3 linked regions of the Drosophila melanogaster genome follow. The protein of the gene in region 1 interacts with the protein of each later gene in a pairwise test. Each region holds a gene or a part of one and is shown in the gene's direction. Other genes may lie near its edges. The genes, in order: alt, Cox10 and eEF1delta.

Region 1 (11,292 bases):
GTACTGGGTCGTCCCGATGTTGACATCCCGGTGGTGATGAGCGGTAATTGTCTAGTTTTCCTGATGGGGCTATAAGTCATCCCATTCTTTTCGTTCCGCAGACCGCAAGGAATTCGCCAACACAGTCCTCTGGTTGGAGGACCAGAAGATCCGGCTTTACTCCATAGAGGATCGCTGTAAGCTGCGCACTGTCGACAACCCTGAGATCTGGAAGGAGGGTTACTTAAAGTACTGTGCCGATTTGAGCATGCCGCCCCTGGAGACGCGGCAGGAGCAGCTGGCCTGGATTGTCAGCTATGCTGTGCGCCTGGACTTCCTCGATGATCCTGATCAGTTTGCCTCGATTAACACCAAACAGGTGCCACCCCAAAGCAATGGCAAGCAGTCCCAACAAAGGGTCCAGGCTATTTTCGATGGAAATATTAATAGTATGGTCTGATTTTAACTAAATTTACCATTTAAGGAACTTTAAATTTATATATTATGGATTTTTTAAGAGGTTCCAAAAACCACTTTTATTATCTATAGATGATAATCAGGTAAAGTACAACAAGTATTAATTCTTTCTTCCCACCAGCTCAGGAAAAAGCGTTCGTGGATGGAGTCCGGCTGCTGGCCAGCAAACTGAATGTGCCGCACCACCCGAACCATCTGTTGCAGCTGGAGGCTATCGCTCGCGTGGTGCACGAACGCCTCTCGCCCGCCGCCAAGGATCGCAAGCCGGTAGTGGGTAAACCCTTCCCTTTTGACAAGGGAAACGACGTCGTCTCGTCCAACGACTCTGCCCTGGACCTGCCCATGCGCATACTACGTCTTCTCCAGATCCAGAGCCTACGCGAGCTGCAGACACACATCAATGAGACCATTGTGGCGGTGCAGAACATCACGGCCAATCCAAAGACTGATACCAAGCTGGGGAAAGTGGGATTCTAGACGATTAACAGTAAAGGAACGCAATCGACACAATATAACATAAAAGGACATAAAGAACATAAAAGTTTTAAAATTGCATCTATAAAATATCCTTTAAAGCCAAGCAACAACATTTAGCAGAAATCAATAGATAGATCAACAGCCAAGCTATGAACAAGCAAACACCTTTTTTGAAAGCTATAAAATAAGAATCCTGTTGATATTTTATAATATTATTATTAATACAAACATATGTTTATTTATGATCCTCTTTCAAAAGATGCAATATTGTGTATGCCTATGTAATTAATTTATTTAAAATAAATCATAAATTCATTAAAGCAAACAAGGTTTTGTTTTCAACGATTTTAAATAGAAAAAATTCTAAAAACAAGGTTACAGCTATATTATTGTAATGCCACATGGTCGTACAAAAGAAAACATTAACCTTTATATATTAAGTGACTCTACGATTATAATTAAAACGTCATTGAATTAACGTCTAGAAAAGAACTGATGATCAGTGCTAGTATTTTCCTGTTCTTTTGGCTTCTCGGCGGTTGCCTTCAGGAAATTCGCGTCTGCCAGGCGGGCCACGCCCAGAACTCCAACGGCTATGGCGACGAAGGAGAAAGGAGTAAACATAAGACCGGATTTAAGATCCCAAGTGGCTCACCTGCAGCCAAGCCTTTCATAGTGAAATTCTCCAGAGGTTTCGCTTGTCTTTTTTTCGACTGTGCCAATAGGAAGGCACCAATTCCCAGGAGTCCAAGGCCACTGACCAGACGGCAGGCCAAGCAGTCCACCTCGTTGGAAACGTTGTCCTTGTTCCAAAAAGAAAGTCTACCGATCATTTTTAAAATTATTTCAATAATAACAATTTGGGAATGGATTTGGAAAATAAGGCGACAACTATCGATATACCAAGTTTGTCGCAGGGCTGCCAACTTGATTGTGTTAACTAAACTAGGTTTTTTGTTAATTCGATCAACAAATGCTTTATTGACCTTATTTTCTAATAGAACTAGATTCCTATTAATATTATATATGTTGACCACACTCTAAAATCTTTAATATGTATCTATCTTTTTAATAGCTATCGCCGATTTAAATGCATTGTTATCGATAGACGTGAACATTAGATGTTAAGTTAAAAGCGGCCGGTTACTATTCTTACAAAAATGGACTTTCAGCGAAACGATGCTATGCTCATGGAAATTCTGCAGGATCGGAAAACTATTACAGGTTTCCTGGACTCCATTTTCGGATTTCTGCGACGCAAGTAAAAGATTTTATCTCAAGATCCTTAACAAAACTGTAGTCCCACTTCCCTTTTTAGCACCGACTTTTATCACACAAAACGCGATGAAGCGGATAAAATAGGCTTCCCCAAAGGCGTGAGGGATCAGATTCTATATGGCGCCATGCAGCGCTACGATCCGGATTGCTTGCTACAATCCCTGACCGCGGAAGGCGGTGCAGATGATGGAGAAACGGCTCCGCCTGCCGTCGAAGAAGTGGTCCTGGAAAGCGAAGATGGTCCTCAGGACGAGGAAATGAAACCCATAGAGAGCCAGCCGCCACAAAAAGGGAAGGAGCAGTCAAAGTTCTCCCCCAGCGACTACAAAAACGGAGATGTGTTCGAAACGCACTGCTGGTCACAAACCCTCAAGGATGTGGAGGTGCAGGCTCTGCTTCCCAAGGATCATCAAACGGCGAAGAAGCTGCACATTTCAATTCAGGCCCAGCACATCAAAGTGAGCAGCAAGCATAGCCCAGAGACGATCATCCTCGAGGGAAACCTGAGCCAGCGGATTAAACACAAGGAGGCGGTGTGGACAATTGATCAGAACCGATTGATCATAAGTTACGGTGGGCATTCACCTAAAACATCTTTATAAACCATTTTCATAAACTGTATATAACTGTAGATAAAGCAAAGGAGCTCTGGTGGGATCGGCTCTTCGAAGGTGATCCAGAAATCGATTCCAAGAAGATTGAATGCGAACGCTATATAGATGATTTGCCGGAGGAAACCCAGGCCACCATAGAAAAGCTTAGGGTCCAGCAGTTGGCAGCAGACAAGCAACAAAATGAAATTCAGACCTCAAGTCCCGACCAAGCTATAAACCTGGATCGCCTGAAAGCTGCCTGGGATGCCGAAGGTTCGCCGTTTAAAGGACAGCCCTTTGATCCTTCTATCGTAAGAATGAGTTAAATTTTAAAATAATTAATTAAGCTAGCAATAGTAGTAAAATAGTAAAAACTGAACCATATATATTTTTATATATCTTTTAGTTTTTTCATTATTTGTTTCGTTCTGATTCGGAAACTGAAATTGTTAGAAAAGTATTATTCAATACAAACTCATGTCAACTTACAACTAGATCTTAGTAAGAACACTTTTGAGATTAAGTTTACTTGGCCTTCAGTTCGAGTTTCTTGCGCTGCAGTTGAATCTTCTGATAGGCCACATCCTTCTGATCTGTGGACCAGGCCAGGTACATGTAGGTGGTCAGCAGCAAGGCCATGACTAGCCGATCCACGCTCATCACATTCGTGGCGAACAGGATGACCGACAGGCCCACAAACGAGGGATGTCTGACATGGGCGTACAGATTGCGCAATTCCCCGGATTTGTAGCTGATGGGCGGTCCGTAGGCCTTCAGATCGTAGTAGGCTTGCTTGACGCCCAGCAGCTCTGGCAGATCCATCACCAAACTGCCGCCAAAGATGACAACCCAGCAGATGCCATGGGTGATCACGAAGGTCCACCAAAGCGGAGCACTCTGCTCCACATCGATTTGCCACAGAACAATCGACTGAGCGGGCAGCCAGTTGACGATCAAATACTGAAATGTCCAAAGTTGCAGTTGGGAGCTATTTCTGTCCAATTTGTGGGTATACAAACATGTAAACAAAGCGATGACGTCAGGCTATAAATAGTGCGCTCCGCACCCGACAATCCCAACTTGGCCAACAGCTTCTTGACCACGGCTGACTTGAGGAAGCTGTGCTGGAAGATGAATCCGATCAGGTAGAGGGTATCGAACACCACGGGTCCATAGGCGGTCTGCAGGCGCGACTTGTTGTCCAGTAAATTGAAAATCCAGGTGTGCGCCTTGGAAATCGAACGAGGCGTCGAAAGGAACATCATCAGGCTGCCAACCACGTACAGGGAGTAAGCGAACGTGGCCAGGGATGCCAATAGTACTATGGACTTGGCAATCGATGTCATTTTTGTCAGGAAAATTGAGAAAATAGCTTGTTATTTCGAGATAATCAAAACAAATTCAATGAACGTTTCGGTGAGCTAATCAGTGCGACCATGGCACAGTCGCGATAAAATCTTCGGTGAAGAATTTCAATTTGGTTTGTGTCCACGATAAAAACATCGCTCTCCCCACGTAGCGTGTCTCGGCTACAAAAACATAGCGCATTTATCCGGCGGCTTGAGTCATCGCTAGTTGTCCAAATTTAGGACTATTATGTGACTGGCGCGATTTTTGGAGTATGTCGCCACGGTCACTCTGTTTGCAAATGTTTCAATTTTCCCACTAACGAAAAAGTGTAAGTCCGCAGCCGAAAGGCATAAGAAAGTTGAGAAAAAGTTTAACAGTTGCAAGTAAGAACTGGTTTGATAAAGCGTATCTAAATCCAAGCAAAGTGATGAAAAAACTGTCGACGCGACAACCCAACACACACACACACTCAAACAGGCGCAGCGCTCCGGCACACATACACAAGTGGCTTGCAAATGGCGGATGCGTTTCCAACAAAAAGAAAAGAAGAAGGAAAAGAAAGACTGCATTGTAAATGTGAAATGTTGTGAAAATTGTTGACGTTGCAAGTGGCTTAAAATCGGCTGAAAATCAGCGTTAGAAGTATAGAGACTGGAGATAAGAAGGGGAGAGCGGTGTACATGTATGTGTGTAAGTGCAGTGCGACGCCCTTTTGTCTTGAGAGGAAAAAGGAAGCCACTACTTTATTTATCGGTGTGCAATTATTCAAGGTGCCAATTAGTAGTCGACACACTTTCACTGCTCCCCATTGCTTAATTATGAGCAAAGGGGACAGCTGACTGCTTTGATTTGCCAAAAATCTCGGGCGCCGCCGTCTGGCCGGGGCCCTGCCCCCGCCCTTTCCCATTTGTTGTTCGCTGATTTTATCAAAGAAAAAGACAAGAAATGAGCATAATTGATGCGCTGACCTCACCACACACACACACATAAGCATATGCGGGCTTATCAAAGGAGCGAGAGCGGAGCAGAGCTCAAAAGAGAGAGCGGAGCAGAGCAGCTGCAGTCCAATAAATCATAGACTCAAAAATCGTTCGTCATCGGGGAAAACCAATTGACAATCAACAAATGCTATCGACGTCTACGTCAGCAATCAATAATCATTAACCGCCAGCTTTAGACAATATCAATTTGCCTATTTATAGCCTTTATGAGTCACTCCACATTTTAGACCAACCTTCCATCTGTGGACCAAAAGAAAAAATTAGGGAAACGAACTTGGAACCTGACGCTCCCACGCAGGAATAACAAGAAGACACCACACACCGCAAAAAACATGCCACGCTTTCTTTCCCACAGAGATAAATAAAGCAGCATTGCATGTTGCATAAATATTACGGGAGAAAAAGACGAAAAGTAGGGAGCAGTGCTTTCTAAAATTAAAACTCTTGAGCCGCTGAAAATAGCAGGGGCAAAAAATGCATTTATGAATAAATAGATGAAAAATAATGAATGAGTGCGAGTACGCTCTCGCTCAGCGGTGACAGAGAGAGCGAGGAAAGCACTTGCACCGTTATCAGTGATGCTGCTGCGAAAGCAAGCTAGTAAAAGTATAATTTCAAATTATTTTTTTATGAAAGAACAAAAATAATATAAAATGGAGAACCCGGTTAAATTTTAGATAGATTGGAAGTTTTCAGTTTTAAGAAGTTATTAGGATATGTAAGTTGATTATGAAAAACAATTTTTTTTTAGAAACAAATCTAGACATTTATAATTCGCATAAGGACTTTAATAATTATACACAGTTACGAGGATCAATAACTTTTTTATTTCCATTTGAAGAGATGTAATCGCATTGGCGAATACTTGACCCACTTCAAACACGCTGCCTTCAAAGGCCAGAAAATGGTCAACTTGGCATTTCTGGCCGGGGCTCACCAACAGGGGAGAAATTCCATGTGCCAGCAAGTGCGAGTGTGTGTGTGAGCAGGCAGCTAATTGAACACTGGGGCGCCGCAAAAGAAAGGGGGAGGGAGGGAAGCAACGGCACAGAAAGATAGAAAGAAAAACGGGAAAATTAGGCCAACTGTGCAGTTCGATGTCAGTTTGCCAGTTTGTCAGTTGGCTGTAACGAGGCCGAGCAGCCAGCGTGTTTTGCATGCTGTTCGACCATAATACATAATTATTTATAGATGGTCATAATGATAATTGGCAGCAAGATTTCGACTTTCACACACTCGTTTATACAAAAACTCACACAAAAACACTGGCCAGTCACACTCACGCACACATGGGCGCTTTTCTTCCGGTTGATGACCTTTACCGGCGTTTTTATTGTGCTTTTTATTCTCTTTTGGCTTTGGCTCTCTTCTGCCGCCACCGCTTCTGCTGCTTCTTCCTCCCCCGCCTCTATACTCACGGAATCGGAATCCGCAGCCCGGACTTTACTTACTTTCCGTTAAACGCCATCGATTTGTTTGACGGAAACCCGTTTCCATTGTGCCATTAAATATTAATTTAACTTTGTGGTCAGTCCACCCATCCGTAATAATGAATGTCGGTTTCATAGGACTAGATAATAGACAATTGGAGTTGTAAAAACTTTCATAAATTGTAGTGAAGATGCTATGAACCATCTAAATTGTCACAATGGTCGCAATACAACAGTTGGAAACACTAAAAATGGTTACATTTGTTAATAAATGAAATCAAGAGTTAGTTATATGTAGATAGAGTAAACCTGGAAAGATTTGCTGTATACGGATTATTCATCTACCCAGTATCACGTAACCCAGTATTTTTGAAAGCCCCTTAGAAATGTTTGTTGATTGTGGATAAGAAGAAACAGAAACACAGTCAGTATCTTTTAGCCAGAAACATGACGCGAGCCAGCAAAGCAGCAGAAATAAGAAGCCAGAACTTGACAAGCCAACAGAGGAAAATAAATACCCGACCTGCCAGTTATCGCAGCCGCAGAGAGCAACAACCTTGAATTGAAATTTTTGCAATTTGTGAATTCTTCCACTGAGCTCGCGGAGTCAGCGAAATTTCAAGTTTTGTTCTAACTGTGGTGGGAGCGAAGAGAGAAAAGTGCCACGGAGCGCAAGCACACTGAGAATAAAACGTTCTGTTAGTAATGTTAGTATTTTTTATTTCAAAAATGTACAAACTACAAATATATATTATTTTAAAGTTTCAAAGATAACTGGGCGGAGTAAATATATAAACGTATTTTATTTTGATGATACAAGTAATGTTATCGCATATTTTAAACTCAAGACTTATTGCAAATTTGTTTGCTGATTCTTCAATAAAATCTTGCTCTCATAAAACGTAACTTGCACTTACAGAAAACATCCAGAAAATAACCTATTCAAAAATAAATATTTAGTCGATCTTGGGAATTGCTTCAAGTGTAGAGAGCTGAGGAGAGATCTCGAATTGCGAGCCCAGCTCTGCTGCGAATCTTTTCACTAGCCTTTGGCATTCGCATCGTGTCCATTGGAAGAGACTCGTGGAGTTTAACGAAAATAGATTAAACAGTGTTGATTTTTTTTGCGAATTGGCAAATTTGCATACGTGTGCGTCAGAATCTAGACTTTGAGTTATTTTAAATTGTTATTCTTTTTTCGGATTGTTATGTGAGTTCCTTTCAATCTGCGTCAACACCTTTGGGTGCTGGAAATGTCTACCAACTTTCGTTCAAGGCTGCCCAGCAGCTGCTGTTTCATAAGCTAATTTTATTCTTTGTGACTTTGTCGGCTCCCCACTTCTGCCCGGAATACATTTTTCCGTCTTAATCGCTGAGTTCTTTGAGGAATCGATAATTCCAGCTGAGATTTCTTATCGCCCTTCCTGCGCCAAATGAAATTCAAATGACCTTTTTGCCTAAATTTGAAATTCATGGGGATTTATTGGCGAGTTGAGCTGTATAATCCGGAATACCAGGAATATTGAGCCATTCAGCAGTGCATTTTTTTTATCTCAGCAGAGCAACAACAACAATGAAATTATCAACCGCACAGCGTTTTTATTAATATAACGTCCAGCAAGCCCAGTCAACTGCAGCAATAACAACGTGTTCATACAAAAGGAGAACTTGTGTTGTTGCGCTCTGAACCATTTTCCGGCCGGTAAACCGATAAGCACGTTCAACTCAAACAATCCGGCTATATAAAGCGTAATTGCCATTGAATGTAGTGTCGTTGATCTGTCGTTTTTAGTGGGCATTTCTTCGGCGTTTTTCGATTTTTGACCCCCACGTCATCAGTTTATACTACATTGTAGTGGTTCTCAAGCTGAAAAAAGCTGATAATGCTACGAAATGAGTTTGATAGCAAAAATATATACACGAGTGACCCTAAAAAGCATTTCTAACATTTCCACACTTGAGATTATTTTTTGCTTTGTTGGTTGCTTTCCTTGGAAACCAAACGGAGAAAACGTGGCCGTAATTCCGGGCTTCCCCTTTTAGATGAAATCGAACATTATTGTTTAATTTTTTCATATGTATTTACACCTGCAAATGTAAATACCTAGAAATATTTACCTTCTAATATTGCTAAAATACAAAATAGTAACGAGAAACTCTCTATTTATTCAACAGCATTCGCAAAGGAGATCCCTGAGAAAAATCCACGGCTAAACCGGAAAGATATGCAAATATGGACTTCCACATACTGATCGTCATCGGTTGTGTGGTCAGCGCCTCGCTGCTCTCGTTCCTGTTCATCAACAAGATCTTCCGGCGCAAGACTTTTGAGGAGGTGGTAGCCGAGAAGCGTGCCCTGAGCGCCAATCTCTACAAGGCGGCCGGTGGTGCCGCTACCAAGAAGCCCAAGAAGAAGGAACTTAAGCGCGAAAAGAAGCAACGTCAGCGGGAACAGCAGAGGGATGTGAACAACGAGCCGGAACCAGAGGAAGCCGAAGACTACTCCGATGGTCAGTCGGAGGGTCAGGGCTCCGTGGCTGGCGAGGAACCCGGTCTCTCCAAGCAGCATGTTGAATTTGAACCCGATGCAGAGGTCCTCACTGATCAGCGACGACCCAGTAGCGTGGCTGAGAAGGAGAACCAACCTTCTGGGGCTGGCAAAAAGGGAAAGAAGGATAAACGTAACGGAGCCAACAACAAGACAGCCGGAATCCTGGTCAACAAGAACGAAACTGTTGCTGTTAAGCCTGCAGCTAACGCCGAGGAGACACCAACTTTGAATAATTTTGAAACCAAGATCCCCAAGGATGTGGTGGAGCTGAAGAAGCAAGAGCAAAAGGAACGCAAAGAAGACAACAACAACAAGCAGCAAAGTCAGAAAAAGATCGCCGGAGGCAATGTGTCCAAGAAGGAGAAGGTCGTAGCTGTCGAAACAGAGGCACCCGTAGTGACCAAGCAGATCCTCAAGCAACAGCAGCAGCAGCAGAATGGCTCACCCAAAACGCAACACAACCAGGCCAACAACAAAACCAAGCAGCAGCAGCAAAACAAGAAACAGAATCAAAAGGAAACCCTAACGGGTAAGGATTTGGCTCATGCTTTGGATAAACTGGCCGATCACCAGAACCAGACCATTGGTGTCAACGCTCTGATGAACGTATTTTCTCGTGCCGAGCTAAATCGCTCAGAGATTCAGATACTCATCGACTATCTGCTAAACAAGCAACAGGATATGCCCGCTTCGCACTCTGAGTGGTCGGATGACATCTGCCAGAAACTCAAGCGTCAGCTGGAAGAGAAGGAAAAGCTGTTGGCCGAGGAGCAGGAGGCCTCCATCGGAATTCAGGCTAAGCTTCGCGAACTACGCCAAGAGGTTAACACAGAACGCGCCCAGATGCATGCCCGAAACCAGGCTTATATCGATAAGTTGCAAGGCAAGGAGCAGGAGCTAGCCGCCCTCAACCAGGAGCTGTCCAGTCTGAATGACAAGTTGACGCTTGAGCGTCAACAGCTTACGGTAAGAAAAGCTTCTGAGATTTATAAGAATATTTTCAAACATAGCCTATATTCAAATTCGTTACAAATCATTAATTCTTTGTTTTAGACCCTTCGGAGGGAGAAGCAAGCCAATTCGCAGGATCTGGTTCAGTTGCAACATTTGCAACAGGATCTCGCACACAAGGAAAAGTGCCTGGCGGAAATGACCGCATTCGTTAATGCAGAGACCCAGCAGAAGAACGAGGTGATTCAGCAGCAGGCTCAGCAGCTGCAAGCCCTGGAGCTGCAACGCGAAGAGCTGGAAGCGCGCCAGAACAATAGCATCTTTGAGCTAGAGCAGCGCAAGCAGCTGGAGGCGGAGAACGCCGACCTCAAGCAGGAGCTGAGCGCTGTTCAACAGACTCAGTCGGAGCTGCAGCGCGTCCACGCCGCCGAGTTGCAGGAGCTGCGACAGAACTTGTCCGTCCTAGAGGCTCGCAACGTTGCGCTCAGCCAACAGCTCACCCAAGCCGCCAACAGCGCGGTTCAGGCCACCGCCGCCCAGTCGGAGCAGGCCCAGGTTCAGACCGAAGCGCTGGCCCAGAAGCAGCAGGAGCTGAGTGCTCTTCGCTCGCAGGTCGGCTCGCTGACGGATGCCCACGCCCAGCAGCAGAAGCAAGCCAACGCTCTGCAGTCGCAGCTCCAGGAGGCTCAACAGCGGGCCGAGCAGCTGCAGGCTAAGGAGCAACATCTGCAACAGGAGCTCCAGGAGCAGCGGGAGAAAAATAATGTGAGTATAGAGATGAACTCTATAACTAGAAATATATATTAAAAAACTTTTCTTTTTGTGTTGCATTCCCATTACATTCCCTATTTTATACCACCTACTTTAAACTTTATTGCACTTTACTTTGTAATCACTGAAATTGATACATATATATGTCAAGACTTATGCATGAAGATTAATAATGAATGCGGATAATTGAATTGAAAAGGATTTCAAACCAATTTGAGCCCAACTATATGTAATCGCGTCGCATTTGAGTCGTTATGCCGTCGTTCGTCCTGCCCGTTGCATCTGCATCCTTCTTGCTTTTCCTGAATCCTTTACTAATTGCCACGTATTCGTGTTTCGTCAGGACGTGCGTATGAAAAATTGGAAGTTGATTGAAGCGTTGCAAAATGCCGAAGCATTAACAGCTAAGACGAAAACAAATTCAGCGCAGTCCG
Region 2 (10,466 bases), on another chromosome or scaffold:
CTCCTTCAATTTCTGCCAGTCCCACAGGTTCGTTGGCACCTTGTCCCACATGTCGTATTGCAAAATTCCCTTGCTTACCGGGCTGCCCTCGTAGGTTTCGTATGGACCTTCGGTCTGGGCCAGTTCGCAGCTGGCTTCCAAGGCGCCATAGTAAATCGTTTCGAATATCTGCTGATTCAAGAGACCGGCTTCTTCGCTTTCGTACGGGAAACGCATGAGAATCAAAGCATCAGCGAATCCCTGAATACCAATGCCCACGGGACGGTGCCTCAAATTGGATTTCCTTGCCTCTGGCAGAGGATAATAGTTGATATCAATTATCTTGTTTAGATTTTTGGTAACTATCTTGGTGACTTCCTTGAGCTTCTTGAAATCATACGTCTTCTCCGGCGTTACAAACATGTTGAGGGCAATGGAGGCCAAGTTGCAGACTGCTATCTCATCCGGTGCGGAGTATTCTACGATTTCCGTACACAAGTTGCTGCACTTGATTGTGCCCACATTCTGCTGGTTGCTCTTCCTGTTGCAAGCGTCCTTGAACAGCATGTACGGATTTCCGGTCTCCACTTGCGCCTCAATGATGGCAAACCACAGGGATTGAGCCTTAACCGTTCGGTTGGCCCGACCCTCTTGCTCGTATTTCTCGTACAGCTTTTCGAATTCATCGCCCCACACGTCGTGGAGACCAGGACACTTGTGGGGGCACATGAGCGACCAATCACCGTTGGCCTCCACGCGTTTCATGAAGAGATCGGGTATCCACAGGGCGTAAAACAGATCGCGTGCGCGATTCTCTTCTTTGCCTGTGTTCTTCTTCAGTTCCAGGAACTCAAAGACATCCGAGTGCCAGGGTTCCAGGTAAATGGCAAAGGCACCGGGACGCTTGCCGCCTCCCTGATCCACATAACGTGCCACATTATTGAAAACCCTCAGCATTGGAACCAACCCATTCGAAGTTCCATTTGTGCCGCAAATCGATGTGCCCTTTGCACGAATGCAGTGTACGTTAAGTCCAATGCCACCGGCGGACTTGGAGATCATGGCGCACTGCTCCACAGACTTGAAAATGCCCTCGATGGAGTCGGCTGTCATGGTCAGAAGGAAACACGACGACAACTGCGGCCGGTTTGTGGCAGCGGCAAACAGTGTGGGCGATGCATGCGTGAAGTAGCGCTCCGATAGAAGATTATAAGTTTCCACGGCCGCATCGATATCCTCTCCATGGATTCCGATCGCCACGCGCATCAGCATATGCTGCGGTCGCTCTGCGATCTTTCCGTTTCTTTTGAGCAGATAGGAACGCTCCAGGGTCTTGAAGCCAAAATAGTTATAGCCAAAGTCACGATCATAGATTATGGACGAGTTCAGCCGTGTGGCGTTCTTCTTAACCACATTGTAGTGAAACTCGGATACCAAGGGCACTTTTTGATTCGTCTCCTTGTTTACATGATTATACAGATCCTCGAAGACGTCTAATAAGAATCATGATTGGATTAACCGAAGAACTCAGAATACAAGCTATGAACTTACCAGAAAAAGCCTTCTTGGTTTCCTTGTGCAAATTGGACACTGCAATGCGAGCAGCCAGGATGGCGTAGTCGGGATGATTGCATGTTAATCCAGCTGCGATTTCTGCTGCCAAGTTGTCCAGCTCCTGGGTGGTCACGCCGCAGTACAGACCATTGATGACTTGCAGGGTGATAGTAACCTATAAAGATAAAGCATAATAACACATCAGGAAAACTTCCCAAATAATCTGCTGATAACTTATTACAAATGGTTTGTATATCTTGGGACTCCCACATGAGTTTCACCAGGGGCGCTCGCACATTCTGTTGCAGATAAAATCAAACCCCATCACATATAAATACGCATCATACTTACTAGGTTCGAGTGCAACCTGTGTGATGAGCACCTTTAAACAATAGAAACAAACTTACAGGATCAACAAAATCCATGTTCAAGTTGTAGCAAAGCTTCTGGATTCTTGAGGTTATTTTATCGAAGTGCACCTCCTCCTGCCTGCCATCTGAAATAAATATATTAAGAACAGTCATAGCGACAAGGAATTGTAACCCACCTCTCTTAATAACATATAACTTTGAGGTTTTCATGGACTTGTTCTTCAACATCTTGACTGCTATATTTCACAAGAGGCGGCAAATTGATTGTTGCAAGCACAAAAAGGCGCCAAATTAAAGTCATTATTAGTGTTACCGTGCGACATGTTGATCAAATGCCGCACTTTCAAAACGCCTAACTTTGAAACGATCAAGAAACAAAATTATTTCGAACCGTTCCACTCACATTTATATCATATTCTTAAAAAATATATCATTTTAGATAATCAAATAAATATATAAATAACTGCTTGTATCAATACACAGGTGTTTTATAAAAACAAATTTAGTTTAGTGTTAATATAAATAATTAGTTGTATTTTTTATTTATTTAGCTTTATATAATTACATAAATATAACAGTGTTTGAAGAACATTTGAGTATGTGTTTTATAAACGGTCTCGGTAGATTGTTATCAATTATACAAGAGATTATAATATTTGTAAACAAGTTGTTAATAAAATATGCAATTTCAAGTGTTTAATCTAAATGGCCGTGTCTAACTATTTTATTGACTTGCTGTCCAGATTGCTGTTGGAAAACACTAGAAAGAAATATTAACATTAATACACACAGTTAAAATAAGATAATATTTGTATACATACAAAAAGTTATTTATTTTTTCGAGATCGTGTAATATATCATCTTGGTCCGAATTCAAATCGTCTCGCTCCTTAAGGCTCTCCAGTAGTGTGACGTTTAGGTTTTCAATATATTCCTGGAGATTGTTGACCAATAGCTGGAGAGTCGGAACTTGGATTCCAGTGAGCAGCTGCCTCGAAATCCATCGATGGTTGGAGTTCATTTTGATGCCAACATCACACAGCATTGATCGAATTACGTCCACAATGGGAGTTACGCCATGTTTCCTTGCCTACAAATAGATAATTACAATTACATTTGAATAAAAAATAAATAAATCCTGTGGAAAACACACCTTTACTTTCATCTGAGCTATTTCCTTCGATTGAGCTAGTGCTATTCTAACCTCTATTTGAAGTTTTGATTGATTCGCAAAGAAAAACAAGTTTTCATCCGACGGATAATCTGTTGTACCAATGGGATTGCCATTCATATGATTCATGCTTTTATCTTGGTTGATTTGGTTCTTTTGAAAGATTTTATCGTTTTCAAATTCCTTATTGCGTTTCGTTTCACAGAATTCAGATTGCTTGCGAAGTACTCCACTTGATAGTTTTGGACACGTCTCAGAGTCGGAGCTATAACTTTCATTATCGGATCCGGTTAGAAATTCCTCCTTCTTAATGTCTAAATATAAAATATAATATTTAAGAAAATATAGTAATGAAAGAATATCTTTGGTCTTACCATTATTTAAAGAATCTTTATCTCCGATTGCCAATCTCTTGCGTATCTCATCTCGATTGAATCGCCGCTGTAATTGGAATATATATTTAATAAATGATATTATTATTCCGATTATATTGTACCTACCTTTTTCTCTATCTGTTTAACCTTTTTATAATGGTTTTGCAATGTTTCTACATCCATATCGTTTGCAATCTTGTACGCATCAAATTGTTCTATAAAAATTTAAATATTAATATACTCAAGAATCTATAACGATTAATTCATATTTGAAATTACCTAAAACCATGGTGGAGCATGGATCTTTGGAGTACTTGATGGGATCTTCCAAGTACTGAGACCAGCGCGATTGATTTGAGTACTTCCGACTAGCCACCTTGTTATTGTCCTCGTCCAGATTCTGCTGGCTTCCACTTCCACCGATTTCCAAGCTGCTCATGTTGGGTATTTCAGCCTGATTTAGGTTCGGACTATCGTTTTTGTTCTTTTCCGGAACGGACGAGTATTGGTCAGCATCACAAATGATATATTTTCGTTGGCTATACGTTTTGTAGTCGAACGTGTCCGGTGGCAATTGACGTTCGTCATGAGACGGCTTTGGATGCTTCGTTTTCACGATCTGATGTCCGTACGGTGTGTTCTTCTTTTTATTTTTTCGAGTACTATTCCCGGACAATCGCGTCGAGGATGTTTGCTTAAGAGCCTCCGTTCCATTTGATAGTTCTGCATCGCAAATCTGCAAGGTACAATTATGCTTTTACGTGCCTGATCTCTTTTATTTTAACTAACTACATACCTTATCTAAATTTGATCCCTTCAACTCATCCGCTTCCTTCTTGTTTTTATATCCAGTGAGAAGTAGCTCGAATTCACGTTCCACTTCTCCGCCAAAATCACCAACAATATCGATAGGACTTTGGCCTTGCAACTGCCCTTCGTATTTCGAATTAATTGTACATGACCAGGATGGAAACTCAGGATTGGTCGTATAATTCTGGCTTAGATTGTAGATAAGGTCAGGTTTTTGCAAAGCTCGCTTGGAGTTTTCCGACGTTGCACTATAGTTTTCATTTACAATATCCGGAATGTTTTCCGATCGGTTCACGCTTTCCTCTTCTGATATATATGTGTTTCCATTGTCGCAGTTACTTAAAATCGAATCTTGGCCATTCTTAAAGGTTTCCGAGCCCGATTCCTTGGCCATCTTACTTGGGAACGTTGGGTCATCTTCTCTATCGCTGTCGGTTAGATCGCTTTCATTGCACTCCATGTCGGAGTACTCTATGTAGTCATCGGAAAGGGTATGCGCGAACTTTTGAAATCCTGGGTAGTTGGGGTTGGTGATGCCCTTTGTTATATAGATATCCATTCTTGGCATGGGCATTGGAATAAGTTGTCTAGAAGAAATAAAAAAGTTTAGATGACTTAAATATTGATTACAACTACAGTGTATTAATAACATAACATAATTAAAACATAGTAAAAGCAATAAAATGGTTTTTTTCTTATTTCCTTTTACTTGCTAAAGGACACCACTATCTCCACTCCACTATTTTCTTTAGTTCAACTCATTATCGTATTTATAAATTACTTTAAGAGTCAATTTGGTATTTAACTTCATATGTGTTTAGATGTTACATTGTCCTTAACAACACATGAATGAACTGACATTTTGTATATTCTTAAAATCGAGAAACAAGAATCAAGCCGAAAAAAGTTGGTGTAGGTGCAAATTTTTGTAACAGAAATATCTGAAGATAGTCAAAGTTACTTGCAATTATAATTTCTTGTATTTGCTTTATTTAAACGATTGTTTCGACTGTTAACAACTAAAATGTATTCCGTTTGTTTAAAATGTTAATTATTGAATCAATGAAGACTTACAAGGACTTCGGCCTTCCTGCATTCAGATGTAAAAATTACTCCCACACATATAAAGCAAATTACACGTTTGACGCATGCGCAAATCTTGGTATATAGTGTTGTTAACAATACTAAATATTATTACAAATAATTTAATTTACTAAGGAACAAAAAATTTATTAATTATTTATTATTTTTTTATATGCAAAAACTGAGAAAACAACTTAAAAATCGAAACTGAAAATGTCTCTGAGTTTTACCATGGCACAAAATTTTCTTTTAATGTAAACTTATATTATTATTATTTAAGGAATAGGCTTAAAACTTTTTGCTATGTTTTTTTCAAAGTTCTTAAAAAATCCCAATCCCAACAATTTATGAATACCTCTGATTAAATTTTTTGCACTCAGTATTTTTCTCATTTTGAGATATGGTAACACTTAAGCACAATGTGATTTAAAAAACCATAACATTGTATATAAAAGTAATAGAAATCCAAACACAACTAGAAAAATGAAATAACCGTAGACCTAACTAATAAGTGAATAATAATGATATTATTCAAAGGAATTCGGCGGGTGCAATCCCAGCTAAGAACGCCGGTTGATTTGGTGCTCATTCGGGTGAGGTTCTTGGCCATTACGCAACAAACCACTATAACAAACTATAACTTTCCAATAATTTTCAGTACTCCACTGCAGCAACGATAGCTTCCCAAGATGACAAAGGTGTCACTACAGCGTCGCCAGTATCCCAGGCGGGAAAGGTCCAGCATTTACCCGATAGTCAAATTACCTGGATGCCTAGTCCGTACACCATGCCCGGAAAAACTCTTAGCCAGTACAAGAAGCTATCCAAGTTCCGGCTGACATGTAAGCGAGATGGTTAAACATTGGCCAAGCATCGACCATAGTTGTCTTTCGTTGCAGCGCTGGTGGTCATTACAACGATGGGCGGCTATGCCATGGCGCCAGCTGCTTTCGATCCCACAACGTTTGCGATGTGCACCCTGGGCACAGGACTCGTTTCGGCTGCGGCGAATGCCATTAATCAGTATCACGAAGTTCCTTTCGATTCGCAGATGTCGAGGACAAAGAACCGGGTGCTCGTCACGGGGCAAATGACACCACTGCATGCAGTTACCTTCGCCGCGGTGTCGGCAACTGCCGGCTTAAGTATGCTGTATTTCGGAGTAAATGGATTGACGGCGGCGCTGGGAGCGGGTAACCTGTTCCTCTACACCACGATATACACACCGATGAAGCGTATCAGCATAGTCAATACCTGGGTGGGATCGATAGTGGGCGCCATTCCTCCGCTGATGGGATGGGCTGGTTGTGCAGCCACCCTGGACGCCGGCGCCATGATCCTAGCCGGAGTGCTGTACGCGTGGCAGTTCCCGCACTTCAACGCTCTGTCGTGGAACCTCCGGCCGGATTATTCACGTGCCGGCTACCGAATGATGGCCGTTACCAATCCGGGTCTTTGTCGCCGCACTGCGCTGCGATATTCGGTGGCTATTGTCGGACTTTCAGCCATGGCACCCGTACTGGACGTCACGAACTACTGGTTTGCCTTGGAAACACTACCTCTGAACGCGTACTTCGCCTACCTTGGTAAATATACTCATTAACCATGGAATCCTATATGTTATGTCTAATACGTTCTGTTTGCTTGCAGCGTACAAGTTTCATGAAAAGTCAGATAGTGGGAGCTCGCGGAAGCTGTTCCGATTTTCACTGATACACCTGCCCGCCCTGATGCTGCTATTTCTGACCAATAAGAAGGAATGGTATTTCAGCAAACCCGCCGGTGAGGAGAACAAAAAGGAGTCCACGTACAGTGCGATAAAGCATTCTGCTAGCAGTCTTGGTAATGTCCTGCCCGTCGCCGTAGCCGAAGGACCCAGATAGAAATATTAACATTAATTTGATAAAATGTTAAGTATCGTGTGAAATTTAAATATACTTAGTGTTCTGCAACTTGTAAAAACAGTCATTTAATATTAAGGAAACACGTACCCCTGTGCGGCAAATATATGTTGCGCCTAATAAATGACACGACATCCTTGAAAAATATGCGGTGTAACCAATCCGGCGCTGAATACAAATAAATTTAAAATATACAATTTGGCATGGAATCTTAAGCCGTACAGTAATTTAAATTGCAAGATTCTAAGTATGACCTTATTATATTGTTCTTTGAGCACTTGTTTCAAAAAAAGCACGGAAACGGTAAAAATTGTTAGTGGAAGTAATCCCGTTTCCCGTTGTTTCATCGGTTGTTGAAAATAAGGAATTTAAATCTATTTTATTTTGATAAATTGTAGCAATCGAATCGAACGTATTATTTAAGGCATTGTAAGGCATCTCTTCTTCAGATTCCAGAGTTTATTCCTTTGGAGGGTTTTTTTTCCAAGATTAAAAAACGACATGCGCATTTCCTAGGGATAAGTATTCTAGCTATTTTAGGAACTATATTCCGCAATTGAAATAATTTTAATAATAATAGTAAAATCCGTCAGATAAATAGTCAAAAATTTCTAGCTAAAAATGAGTATAGCTGTACGTTATCGATAACAGAAATACCAAAAAGTTGCCCCTATTTCAGTATATTTCACTGGTTCCTCTGCTGTATGCGTTGGTCTTACAAATGAAAAGAACAATATTTTGTATTGTGTTGCAATAGCCTTGATGTTTTATCACAGAAGCACATTAGCATAATCACTGATTTATCGCGATGCCGAGATGAATCATGCAGCTAACGCGACTATCGCTGGAGCCCTCGTTTGGTAATTTGAACGGGAAACTAGATCAAATGAGCGAAAAATCTGTGGCGAACCACTGGAGTGAATTATTTTTAGTGAGCTGAACGTGGATTGTGACAATGAAAAATTGAGGAATAGTGTTTACATTCATTTTATAATTTATTTTACCAGTTATCTTTTTTATCGCGATAAAGGAGAGGCGTATGAAAGTTTCTTTACACAGTGCAAAACGAATATAAATTTCTAATTATGAATAATGTACCACATAAGTTTCGTCAAGTTTGTCGATTGTGCCTCACATTGGTTAACGAGTGCGATGTTGCAGTACTACAGATTTACGATAATTCGTCGCATAATAATAGTGCCCCAGACAGAATATCGGCCGATTTTCGTGGCGTCGCGAATCGTGCCAACTGCTTTTGCAGCGCTTTAAGCCCCAATCCGTGCAGTTGCATCGTTGATAACCCGCTATCAGCCAACAAAAATGAACGGCGCAACCAGGGAACACCCGTACCCGTGCCCATACCCATACCCGTTTCCGTGCCTGTGCCCGTTCCAAGCCAGCAGATCCAATCGCAAACCCTTCACCATCACCAAAACCAAACTAAAATCCATTACACGCCAAGTGTGCCTTCTGCTGCGGACGCAAAGTCGAGTGAGCGCGAACGCCAATGCCAATTGGAGTCGGACATCGCCGAGAGATCAACAGTATTCAAAAGTCAGTCATCGTCGGATCACGAACATATAGAATATAGCGGGGAGACGCCATCCCCCTCCGCATCGCTATCCCAATCCCAAACAAAATCGGAGCCAATGCGCGAGGAGGAGGAACATCAGCATAATCATAATCAGCAGAGCGGACGCGAAGAGACAAGTGTGAATACAACAAATATAAGCGGAACCGATAACTACGGCAAAGAGCACGGTCGGGATGATTCATCATCACCACATCTTACATTTCAGATATTCAACTGTCTCTCTATTAAGGTAAGCAGATTTCCATCCAACACATTTGCAAAGAAACGAATTTACATTAATTACGCACATACACAAGCATGCTCTTACCTGTGTGTGAGTTGGATATATCGCGTATATGTACACGATAATGCCCGCACACACGCGCACTTTTGCGAGTGCTTGCCGTGCGCTGGTGTGTGTTATCTATGTGATTACGACACCACACGTCAAAATAATAGGAAATGATTGGGCCGCTTTTATCCCATGGCCTATTAACAATCGGTATCAATTGTTTGGTATTTTTTCGATGAACCATTGCAAGGCATTGGCCCAGGCCCACGCACACCACGCCACACTCGTACATCAGTGTCCAGCGCACGAATGTAAATATTGCTATGTACATACGTGTGTGTATATGCACGCATGGATGTATGTTAGAGACCTACATACATTAATCCACCAAAGAGATAACATTCGTTTCGATTGTTTAAGTGCGGATATACCGACGTACATACACCTTATATGGCCCCAATGTGTTTTTTTTACATACTTCGAGTACTTTCATTTGTTATTATGTATTTATTTATTTATTGATTTGATAATTTGTGCTCTTAATGCATTTCATGAGCTTTAGTGTTTATTTCCGTAGATGAACATATGTTATTTTTTTTTTTTTTTATCATTTTATAGGGTTGTTTTTAATTTTTTTCAATTAAAATAATTTGTTTCATGAGATTTACAGAGATATAAATTGTATACTAAAGTTTTAATACATGTATAATGATAAAATTGATTAAAATACAAATAGTTTTAGCTTGATTTATACAATATCAAAGCATCCAATGTTCTTCTTTTAGTTCCAAGTATAACCAGTCATCAATCCCATCGATCGATTTTGTTACCGCCTTGCTCCTTAGTCATTGCATCATTCTCATTGCTAGCCAACTGAATATTAAAAGTGGATACTGCAGTATAAGATACATTCATATTTCTTTCAGGCACTGCCCAACGATGGATTACCCAACGTGGTTTGTGGCGACTGCAGACAAAAATTGGATTCCTTCGAAAAATTTCGAACCATGGCGCACAATTCACAAATAGCTTTGAAAGAATTTTTAAATATATCCAAAAATCTGAGACCAGTAAGTATAAGTATTGATTGGAAGGAACTTAGTTAGTCATACGCCATTAAATTAAATGACCATTTGAATTACTACTCACGAACTATGTTTTTTGCAGGACCCAAATGATTTGGAAACCAAGCTCGATGCAATTTTAAAGGCTTCATCGGAGGCTATAGCGGCAAAGGCTCTGACGGAGTTAAGCACGTTCTCTAAAGTTAAGTACGACCACAGTAAATTGGATTCCAGCATCCAACCCGGCTTGGATCGGAAAATCGAGATTAGCAATCAAGAAATGCCAGCACATAG
Region 3 (10,921 bases), on another chromosome or scaffold:
ACGTACTACTCTCAGTAGTCTGATTTGTAGTGCTTTTTTTCGAATTAGCCGAATGAGCGTACCAGTCTGTGAGTGCGACCAAGTTCTTAGAAAAATTGCAGTTTTCCTGATTGTATTCCTTTCTGTGTCCCTCAGAATCAGCAAAAGTATTCGATGTACTCAGGGAACCAACCAGTGAATGATTGGCTATCGAGTCTACGGTACAGCGACTAATTACTGAATTAGCCTTATAGTTTGAATAAATATATAAAGATTGCTGTAGGGGCTTAACCGAATTATCAACTATTACTGATTCTGGCTCTGGAGCACATTTACTTGGCTCGACGACGCGGCTACTGTACAAATTTCTGTTGTTATGTGTAAGTTTTATTACAGTCAGTGCATCCGAGCCAAGTCTTTTGGGCGAGCCTATTGCTGGCTCTTGTTGCTCATCGTCGTCCGAGGAGCATAAGTCAATTGTATCAACAACAACTTCCTTTGTGGGTGAAATTCTCCAGTGTGAGTTGAGCGAATTGTGGCGCGTTAGTCTTATATTGAGTTTTGTATTTGCAGTGTGATTTTGCTCTTCCATTACGTGTTCGGATATTTTTTTCAATCTGACTGATATTGGACGGCATTGTTTAATCAGCGGAGAGTTCAAAAACAAAAAGTTCTCAGTAGTGTCCCTGCGTTTAACAAATTGACGCCGCGGAAAGGAATATATGTGATAATTGTGTTCATGTGACTTTTTAAATGTACAATGCACTGTAGTGTTTGTTTTTTTTTCAAAATACTTTTGCTTGGTATTTGATTTATTGATCAATGGAGTGTAACAAAAGCGTTCCAGGCGTTCCTGTCTTTCCGCAATATAATCCATTGATATTGTTTGTTTTGTCGATTTTAACAATTGCTGTCCTGCAGGTGATGATATTGGGATAAACGAACACCTACTAAACGAATGAACTGTTCGATTTCTCCGCGATGGTAAACGCCTCTTTCTGTTTGATGTTTCCGTTGATGTTTCTTCGCTGAATGAATATGTTTTCTGTTTCTCTTTAGATAAACTATTATCGGAGAATTTGGGTTGCAGTTTAAAGTTTAAGAGAAAGGCGTTGCGCTGTTCGATATCTTCGTTTTTCCCATCACTTTTGTTATCTGGCTCAGGGGAATCACAAAGTATAACGTCATCCTCCATGCAACAAATGTTTTCGTGTTCCTGTTATGCAATAGAGTTATTAACTATTAACTTTGACAATCTTTGGCAATCAACTTACGAGTATAGCTTCTTTAGAATAAAGTTCGGCATCACAGTTGTCACATAGGTAGATATCAAAAGGTGGTGGCTCAACCATCATATGCTGTACGTTTTCGCTAATGGAACTGTTGTTCTTTTGCAGCAACAAGCACTTTCTGTTCTTTTGTTGTCTATCATATGACTGCAAAATAACCAATTCAGAATTAACTAATTTTAAAACCCAATTATTCAAAGTAGGCTTGGCTTACCATGTTTTCATTTCGAAATGTAACCAACAGTTTGTTGTTTCTCCTGTCATACAATGAAGTTGTTGAGTTATAATTGTTTATGAATCTTAAGCTCGCGTGTTCATACGCAGCTAAATCATTACAAAATCTTAATAGAAATAAGCTTTTGTGAAATTGATAGCATATAACCACAATTTCTTTCATTTTTTCCATCCAATTCTGTAAAATAGATACAGGTATATATTAGCCATTTATGGGGGTGAATGTTAAATATAAGCCATAGAAATCAAAAGGTAAGGGAAAAAAGCTTACCCCAACAAATGCTTTCGGCTTTTTGAGCGGAATCTCGAAAGGAGCGCTTTCGGGCCACCATTCTGGTTCACTGCAATCTATTTTCTTTGGTAAGTTTATGTGTCCTAAAGAGCATTGCACCATGAAGGGAATAAAATTTTCTAACTGGGACTCCGTAATTTTTTCTAGGGATGTTGGATATCCGTTCGCAAACAAAAGTGGTAGGTTGGATATCATGTTGTGTTGAGCTTTATCTTTTTCATCCATTGTCACTGCAAGTGAATTAAAATGTTATATTTTATTGCCATGTTATCGATAGTTTTCCAAGATAACCGATTAAAACGATTACATATGTATAACATATCTACTTAAAAATTTAAAACTACTAAACTTTCCTAAAACCAAACCAAACAAACGATTTCAAATATTTATTAGCAGTTGTGATAAGTAAGGGGCGCAGTATATGGATCTAGCTGTGTCCGTATGTCTGTCCGTCCTCATGAACGTCGAGATCAATAGAGAATACTGAGGGTGATGAGTAAACTCAATTAGGTACCGTGTAATAGTTGTTCTATAGTCCTTGAAAAGTATATAATGATCATCTGCCTGTCCGTCCTGATGAAGGCCAGTTACTCGTAAAAATATGAAACTAACAAGTCTTTACAGCCTTGATCCGGATTACTAGCCATGTCGATACAGCCATAACTGACTGTAAGTCCGTATTTGTTCGTATAATCGTAAAGCCCTCAGGTACTATTAAAGCTACCCTGGAATTGAATTGCCACGTACATTGTGACACCTAGGGATCAAGGTCTAGAATACATAACTGTTTACGTCCTTTTTGTTCTAGAAATCTCTAGTTTAGTGACCGCAAACATTACTTTTTTGCAGGACCATTTTATGAACGGTCACATTAAAAAATGGCGAGTGATAACCACAAAATGGCGAAGATACAGACTGTCAAGTCCGTGGGGACAATCGATAAAGGTATCGATGATTTTTTTTTGCAAAATTACAATCCTTGAAATGTACCTTTATTAGGTACTATATATCGTATACACATTGTACCAATAAAGTACAGCAATATGATTAAACTTTTTTTTTTATAAAATACTTGTTTTGCCAAAGGCGTTGCCACTTTGGTTTAGAACCAAAGCTAGTGGTTACGCCTAGCGATTTCATGAAATTGACATGAAGTGGAATGTTCCCACTTACAGGTTTGTGCGATATCGCTTCGCGAATGCTAACTATGCAGTTTATACGAGTTATATATTCTTGTGGCGAGCCACGACCAGCGTTTCACTTTTGCAAAAGGGGCAGCTCATAAACCTTGCGTCTAACTGCAGATTTCCTTACTGAAAAACCACGAATTGCTCTCATATGTGTACATGCACACACACGCACACACACACGAAAAACACACATATGTATTCCAAGGGAAGTGGAATAAGTTTGCAAATAAAATTTTTACTGCATAACTTGGGACATTTTTATACGTAAACACACTCACACAAGCACTTCTAGATAATTATACATAAACACAAATATTCATATGTTAAATGGAGTCATCACAATTATGCTGTGGTATAAATATCCCACCTGATTTAGACGAGTGTATGTAATACACTCAACGAAAATTACTATGTTCAGCATCATTTGAAATATAATTTGAATAGTACACACTTATACGTTAAACTGGTTGATAACGAACATTTCGACACCGATTTTGTATGGCAATACATTAAACTCAGTGCTCTGGAATGCTCAGTGCTCTCTGCATATACATATCACTGAGTGAATCCATTAGAAAGGAGTCTCAAAAACCGATCAAAATAGAATCACCATCAGTACGCACCAAGAATTCGCAATGATTAACAAAACGGTAGACACCGAGATCTACAATCACAAATATGATAACATAGTTACAGTACACAACACTTTCTTCGTAAAAAAACCATTTGTTGTAGTTGCTATCGAATAGTCGAAGTGAGAACTGACTGCTAAATGGCTGAAATAATTGTGACAAATACTACCCAGTCTTCAAATTGAAACGCGGAAATGGAACAAAATGTGATGTTGCACTTTTACTTTGCTCTTAAAAAAGTTTTTTACTGTAAATAAAATACATGTACTGGAATTTTTGTGTAAAATCGACATCGAATTAATTCGATTCCATCAAACACAGCTGACGCAAACATCTGTTAATCTCTTATACAAAGTAAAGGAGAGTTGTATACCTTTAAAAAACTTTAAAACATTTTTTTTATTATGGTATCTTTTTCTAGCTTTTTAGTAGCACACAAGGACGAGGTCCGTGATATAAAAATTTTGTTAAAGAGAAGAAGAAGCATTAAATAGTTAAGTGGAAGATAATATATAAAAAAAGTATCCCTCTGTATCCCTCTTTCATCAAACCTCTTCACGCAACGACGACAATTGTGGTGAACATTTCGTTGCAACCCATCACAAGCAATAAATCAACTGATGACAAGTATACACACATGTTGATCCGCAGGCCTGTGCAAAAGTTCGTCAAACATCGATGAGGTGCCACGTGGAACTTACATTTTGCTACGTTGAGATCAAACTTTTTTTTTATTTCTTTCCGGGCACTAATAAGTGTTTCAATTTATGGACGTTTTGTAAAAATTGCAATAAATTTGTTTATTTACTCGCACATCAAAAAGCAGTTCGTATGAGAATGAGAACGTGTTAAAAATTTGGTTGAAATAAAAATGTCGTGTTTCATTTCCATCGTTTCAGTAGCAATAAAAAACGAATCCGATGGCGTAGATATCGATATACCTGCATTCCCTTTCAAACGTGTTATCGTATTGTTCAGCCAATTGTGCAACGTGTTTGAGTAAATCTGCGGGCGAAAGACTAAAAATGAAAGTAGAGGCATTGGACAAATTCTGGGCTGACAAGAGCCGCTACGATCTTGCCGAGAAGCGATTCTACGAGGGTCCCCAGAAGGTAAAATCTCTAAGCAATCACAGCCATAAGTACTTAAGTTGTTAGCCAGTTTCACGTGGCCGGTAAATCAGTTCAAATGGTTTCGGCAATGTTTATTGCAAATCTGTTTGTTTTAACAGCAAGGACGCCGAAACACACATGTTCTAAACTTCAATACATACGTAGAATGATCTATTAAAAGATTTCTATATTTATCTGCCTTTGATTTTCAATTGCTGTGTTCATATTGCACATTACATTGGTATATTCTTGTAGCTGTATGTAACAGGTGAACGTTTAACACTTTTAAAAAATATAACTATGTGCGTAAAGTGTATACAAAACAGAGTGTGAGAGAAAACTAACTCTGGCAAGCCAAATTTTGAATACACTTTCCGTTTGGCAATTGGTATAAATACAAAATATAGTATGCAAAACATAAGTACTTAACATGACACCTACACAACAAAATTCGTTTATTCAATGGAAATGTGCCAAAAACAAATCGATGTATACAAAGTTAAAACCTATTGAAATTCAGGGAAATACTATAGTTAAGTAAAGGTTTAAACACGTTGTATTCTATCTACACAAATATACTACACAAAATGCATAGCACTGCATTGTATAATATTTAAACTACGTACAATTTTTGGGCTGATTAGAGTGAGGCTTATCAGTATTTCAGCATGCTTGCATGACAACAGACTTGAAGTAGATGCCCGTACATAAAACATCTCATTTTGCTTAAAAATTATTATCCCTAGAATCCTTTGTCAACCATTCGATACACCAAATGTCAGTTCACACAAGTAATCAATGGTGTTGTCTTATTTTTAAAGGTAACTGATCGCAGCCACTACAGCCCATTAGTAAGCGAAATCGCAAAGGCTAGGGAACACATACAGAACTCGCTGGAAAAGGTAACTATTGTGATAAATCTTTGTATTTCAACATTTGATTTGTTCACATTCCTAGGTTTCTTTCGGTTTCTTTAAAACTTTGTAGAGAATTGTATAATTATTATTTACAATATATTTAGTCTGTACTTATGATCAACATATCCCAATGAGGACTTGAATTTGAATTATTAATCAAGCCTTTTGTGTGTGTTCCAGATCGATGGCGTTACTCTGGACGATGGCTTAAATTCCGAGCTGGCCAAGCGTCTGGCCCAATTGGAGGGTGAACACAAGGAGTTGAAGACCCAGGTTTCCTTGTTGAACGAACTTTTGACTGCCACAGTGAAGCGCTTGGAAACTCAGCTGAAATTGACGAATGGAGTGTCGAAAGAGCCCGAGGTCGAAGCGAAAAAACCAGAAGCGAACGACGACGATGACGATGTGGATCTATTTGGATCGGACAGCGAGGAGGAGGATGGAGAGGCCGCCCGCATAAGGGAGGAAAGGCTGGCAGCCTATGCTGCCAAGAAGGCCAAGAAAGTTCAAATTATTGCCAAGTCGAACATCATTCTGGATGTTAAGCCGTGGGACGATGAGACCGATCTGAAGGTTATGGAGACGGAAATCCGCAAAATCACCCAGGACGGTCTACTGTGGGGAGCTTCCAAATTCGTGCCAGTTGCCTTTGGCATTCAGAAACTGAGCATTTCATGCGTGGTTGAGGATGATAAGGTTTCCATCGATTGGCTGACTGAGGAGATCGAGAAACTGGAAGACTTTGTCCAAAGTGTTGACATCGCTGCGTTCAACAAAATCTAAGGGGTAACATATAATTTTTCAATTCACGATCGGATTTGCCGCATTACAAATGTGTTTGGGAGTCGTCTAAATAAATATTTTGATAAAAACCAACTTAAAAAACTGCATTTAAACTGGGAGTAATTGGTAAATAGTTTACTTTAGGATATTTTTTATGCAAACGATATGTTTTGAATTCGCTAAAAGGCCATATTATTTCAAAATTTATAAGAAAAGAAGATATATATTAGTTTAAGTCATGTATTCGCCATTCTTTGATTAATTAAATTCATTTACGCACGAGTATAAAAACAATGCAAATTACCTATTAAATAAATATTCCAGGTCACAGCTAAATTATGCACATATTAATAATGATTAAACTGAGGGACTAGTTTCATAAGGCTCTACAAATTATAAATAGTTAATCATAAGTTATTTAACCATCCTAAAGCATAACTTCGTTTTCGGGTCTCGTCGACGTTTGGCGCTTAAACTCACAGCTGCCAGGAGAATGTCGAAGAGTGGTCATCGCGGTGCTGGTTGGAGCATAGGATTTGGTCACGCCAGCGCGGGTTCTAGTCGATGCAGTGCTCGGATTTGATTGCAGACCTTAAAGATTAAATAAATACAAATTACATGTAGTATATTCAACTAACTGCCAGTTAATTGATGCCACTGAAACTTACCAAACTTAAACATAATTTCGTTATAAATTCTGCGCTTAAACACAAATATAATGAAGACAAAGATTCCAAGTAGCACATTAAACGAATCGCTGATGGTCCAAAAGAACGTTTTCTTGTGATCATAAAACAAAATGCTAACTATTTCCAACAGCCATGTGATGCCCATTACGAAACACAGTTTCGTGTTCATAACGAATCTGGTTTTGTCCTGAAAGAATCGCCTTTTCAAAACTGGCTTGTCGCTGTTCAAGCTCTGCATTTTGTATATTTCATTTTTTACTTTGTTGCAATACTTCATTGTGAGCACGAATAGAACTAAGTTTATAATGAAAAGTATGCCAACTGGACCCGAAAAGAACAATAAGCTGGCTGAACCAAAAGAATCATCTGGAATTAATACAAAAATATACAAATACTTTAATATTTAAATCGTAATTTAATTAGATTTTTAACTTACACGTAAACCAGCAACGACCATGTCCAAAATTTGGACGCACCGCATCCGGTAAAATGTCAGATTTCGTAAAAGCTATGGTTATTCCAGTTAGCAATGTTGGTAGCCCCCAGCCATAACACGAATACCAAATAAACTGCCTTCTCAGGTCGCTCTTTTCGCAGCTTTTAAGCTTTGTTGATCTACAATTAAATAAGTGTAAATTATTGCAAGTTTATCTAAATTTCAAAAGCATTTGTACTTACCCAAATGTTTTCCATATGTCAAAGGAAGTAATGTTCATCCAAGAAAAGGCAGCCATTAAACAGAAGTACACGAAAAAACCTTCAAGATACAAAACAGAAACAGTTTGTTTAGGTTTTAGTTACCAAATTGCACAAGAGAATGAGACAAAATACCCTTAAACAATTAAGTACTTGACGAGTATAACTATGAATGTAATAATAAAAGTGATTGCTATCGATTTCCCGCTTTTATGGTATAATAACTTGTAGGTCTCCTCGTCCCAGCAGGATTAGCAACTAATTACCTAATGGCTGCAATACCCACCAGAAAGAAAACAGATGTCGTCATTCGATGTGGGTCGCAATTGGCCCAGCGCGATTCCAAGATATGCCGCAAACAAGCTGCTAACGAGGCAAATTAGGATTTTGCCGGGCAGGTTTCTCAATTTGGCAATTGAAATGTAGACAATCAGTGTGAGTGCATAGAAGCAGCAGGATATGAGCAGGCCAATGGGATACATCTTGAAGCGAATCCTGTCGCCGGTCACCACCTTATTATCAAAGCACAAAAATGTATACAGCTGCTCTGAAAGGAACGAAGGCAAATAATTAGGATTATACAAGACACTACTGTATAAAATATGTCGATTTAAATAGGAAGGAGTTTACCTTTTGATTGGGTCTGACCCGTTCCACGCAGTACTGAGTATTCGTATAGGTTTTGAATGTGTTATGAATGATAAGCGAGCCATTGGACGGATTTATCGTATGCGAATCGTCTGGAAAATTATCAGGATCCAAGCGAAACTTTGGGCACTGCAAGCCGTGAACAATACCGAAATCTGAAAAGTATTGAATACAATACACTATACAATCTGACCTATGTCAATGAAAAGGCAAATGTGTCATTCACTTGTTGATTAACCAGATAAGAAAATTTGACAAAAATAATTAAAATGACAAAGCTAATGAAAAATGTCAATACTAATGAATGACGTAGATAACTTCAATAGCGAAATTTGCTTGGCACTTGAAACCAATTGTTTATACCACTTATTTGATCAGACAAATGGAAAACATCAAAATCGATTGCTTCCAATTCTTAATAATATTTTTGATCATTAAGTTTACGACTTTAATGGGCGATTACTGCGTTCAATTGCCGCTCGTTTCCTGCTATAAAGACCTATAAAAATAACTGCAAAACTGGTGACGACATACCTGAGGGCTTTGAGAAGTTTGCGTTGATATTTAGGTTCTGAAAACCCTCAAATTTGAAATCGGTTCCATCGATCTTGCAATAGGTACTGAAATTTCCTTTTGCATACATTTCACCTTCGGCACAACAACGACGAATACAGGGTATTTTTTGGCAAATTTTCATTTCCTGACAAGCACGCACCAGAAACTTCTGTTCCGGTAATGCACCTCTATCCAAATCCGCATCGTCGGAGTCGTGAATAGCTTCGATGCAAAACTTGGAGCTGGGCAAACTGTTGGTTCCATCTTTCCAAATCAACGAATTATTATGAAAGTGCACTTTTCCGGAGGACAACGTATATTCCACGAGTGCTCTGTGGTCGGAACAGTTTAGGGTGTTATCAAAAAATATAATTGGACTGCTGATGATGGAAGTATAAACAAAGAAATCGCTTTCGCCCGGTTTGCATGTATTATTTTCGGAAACGTAAATAAATCCCTGTGGGCAGCACTTGTTTACAAATCCAACACTTTGAGACGGCACATTCTTTTCGAATTCACAAGATAAAACGATGAGACGTCTGTTTAATAGTCCAATGCATGAGTTATTTCGCAAATTCAAGGTGCGTTCACCTAAATCACTTATACTCAGACTGCTAAAGTTCTGGCACTTTGATAGTGCGAATTGGCTGTGGCCTGAGTCATTGATAGCCTTTTCTAATCCAAGGCCCATTGGTGGTATCAATTTGCCTATCACTTGGGCAAGATCCGGAAGTTCACTGATGTTGCTTGCGGCGGAAGCGCACTGGTATATTTCCGCATTGTCCACAGTGCGGCGATATTTGAATAGTAACGAATTCGCGGCACAGCATAACTGAACGGCGAGCACTTTTGAAATGCCACTTAAAATCAGGCACACTAAACTTAGTCCGATGTTCATTGTTTACGGCTCGTCTATTATACCCAATGACCGATTTGCGAGCTTGTGTAATGTTTGTATCTTTTCTTAGAACGGACTTTTCATATCTTATCATTGAGGAATCGTTATCGGACCATATACACTTCGAACCGCATGCAGTTGCCGGATTTAACGAACTGAACTGAAGTCTTCGCGATTCCTTCGCGAGCAAATGCGAATGTTTATGGGTAAACATTTGGCCCGCACACAGACGGACATAGCTCGACGTATATAGGCAATACATTTATGGATTCTCGTAAGCCTATACAAATAAGTTATGCCCCATGGAGTGCCTAACACTTAGCATGCTGGGGGTGCTCACGGATGGTATCAATACACCCAAATGGCCGCATATTTATGTAGGTACTTTGTGGTTCTAACACATATCTATCTATCTACACAATTCAATTGATGACTTTGTACACTAGCTTCTGACGGCAAGACAAATGCGACTGCTCGTGTTAACATTGTGCAAAGCTCATTAAGGGGAAATTGATAAGGTACACAGATACACACATCCATACACACTTATGTACAGAGGTGGGTGAGGTAAGCAATGGATCCTTTAATCGTCTAAGTACTCTACGCACCATAAATCACCTGGAAAATGTCAACGATACGCAAGTATTTATCTTTTCAATTAACTTAAGTCTAGTTATTAGCTGACTTTTTTCCATATATTCTTTCATGACACAAACTAAAATCGCAAACATAAATGTCATTTTTATAATATACAAATCTCCTCTATCGCAAGTACTATTTATTTATTCTAATACAAATATATTAATTTTGTCATTCTCCAATCGGAATAAGTATAAATAAAGTATAAATCCATTGGTTAAGAAAAGAAAAATCAAAAAAATAATTTTTATTCATTTTAATGTTATTAGTTAGTTTCTAATGTGATCTTTCATTAAATATTTAATACTTATAAATTATAAATGAAAAGATATTCATAAAAATCGCAGACAATCAAATTAAAGCTTAAC

What was found.
Region 2: the proteins of alt (region 1) and Cox10 interact in a two-hybrid assay, tested with the Drosophila melanogaster proteins (one large-scale study listed by BioGRID).
Region 3: the proteins of alt (region 1) and eEF1delta interact in a two-hybrid assay, tested with the Drosophila melanogaster proteins (one large-scale study listed by BioGRID).

What each region holds. Positions count from the first base shown.
Region 1 is NT_033777.3:17,675,647-17,686,938, reverse strand, and holds the start of alt (aluminum tubes), read left to right. Parts: upstream 1-4,423; 5' UTR 4,424-4,482; exon of another isoform or gene 4,483-4,537; intron 4,538-4,695; exon of another isoform or gene 4,696-4,844; intron 4,845-7,062; exon of another isoform or gene 7,063-7,292; intron 7,293-7,651; exon of another isoform or gene 7,652-7,795; intron 7,796-8,235; exon of another isoform or gene 8,236-8,287; intron 8,288-8,760; 5' UTR 8,761-8,818; coding exon 8,819-10,102; intron 10,103-10,189; coding exon 10,190-10,852; intron 10,853-11,201; coding exon 11,202-11,292. Other genes in the region: CG31249 (uncharacterized protein), read left to right, coding at 1-43, 102-428, 578-933; CG31360 (uncharacterized protein), read right to left, coding at 1,408-1,526, 1,589-1,766; CG31251 (uncharacterized protein), read left to right, coding at 2,094-2,194, 2,252-2,784, 2,844-3,130; CG7655 (uncharacterized protein), read right to left, coding at 3,330-3,764, 3,824-4,150.
Region 2 is NT_033779.5:10,325,747-10,336,212, forward strand, and holds Cox10 (cytochrome c oxidase assembly factor 10), read left to right. Parts: upstream 1-5,724; 5' UTR 5,725-5,863; coding exon 5,864-5,935; intron 5,936-6,000; coding exon 6,001-6,184; intron 6,185-6,241; coding exon 6,242-6,928; intron 6,929-6,992; coding exon 6,993-7,225; 3' UTR 7,226-7,383; downstream 7,384-10,466. Other genes in the region: RnrL (ribonucleoside diphosphate reductase large subunit), read right to left, coding at 1-1,472, 1,531-1,708, 1,941-2,029, 2,081-2,132; Schip1 (schwannomin interacting protein 1), read right to left, coding at 2,601-2,664, 2,726-2,994, 3,058-3,389, 3,450-3,516, 3,576-3,664, 3,729-4,185, 4,246-4,833; GATAd, read left to right, coding at 8,329-9,066, 10,035-10,178, 10,276-10,466.
Region 3 is NT_033779.5:10,227,932-10,238,852, forward strand, and holds eEF1delta (eukaryotic translation elongation factor 1 delta), read left to right. Parts: upstream 1-4,575; 5' UTR 4,576-4,641; coding exon 4,642-4,728; intron 4,729-5,549; coding exon 5,550-5,630; intron 5,631-5,825; coding exon 5,826-6,428; 3' UTR 6,429-6,519; downstream 6,520-10,921. Other genes in the region: ova (ovaries absent), read right to left, coding at 1-1,195, 1,254-1,415, 1,483-1,680, 1,774-2,019; mthl15 (methuselah-like 15), read right to left, coding at 6,856-7,019, 7,097-7,483, 7,554-7,732, 7,796-7,874, 8,100-8,355, 8,444-8,616, 8,996-9,914. UniProt on the Drosophila melanogaster protein: EF-1-beta and EF-1-delta stimulate the exchange of GDP bound to EF-1-alpha to GTP.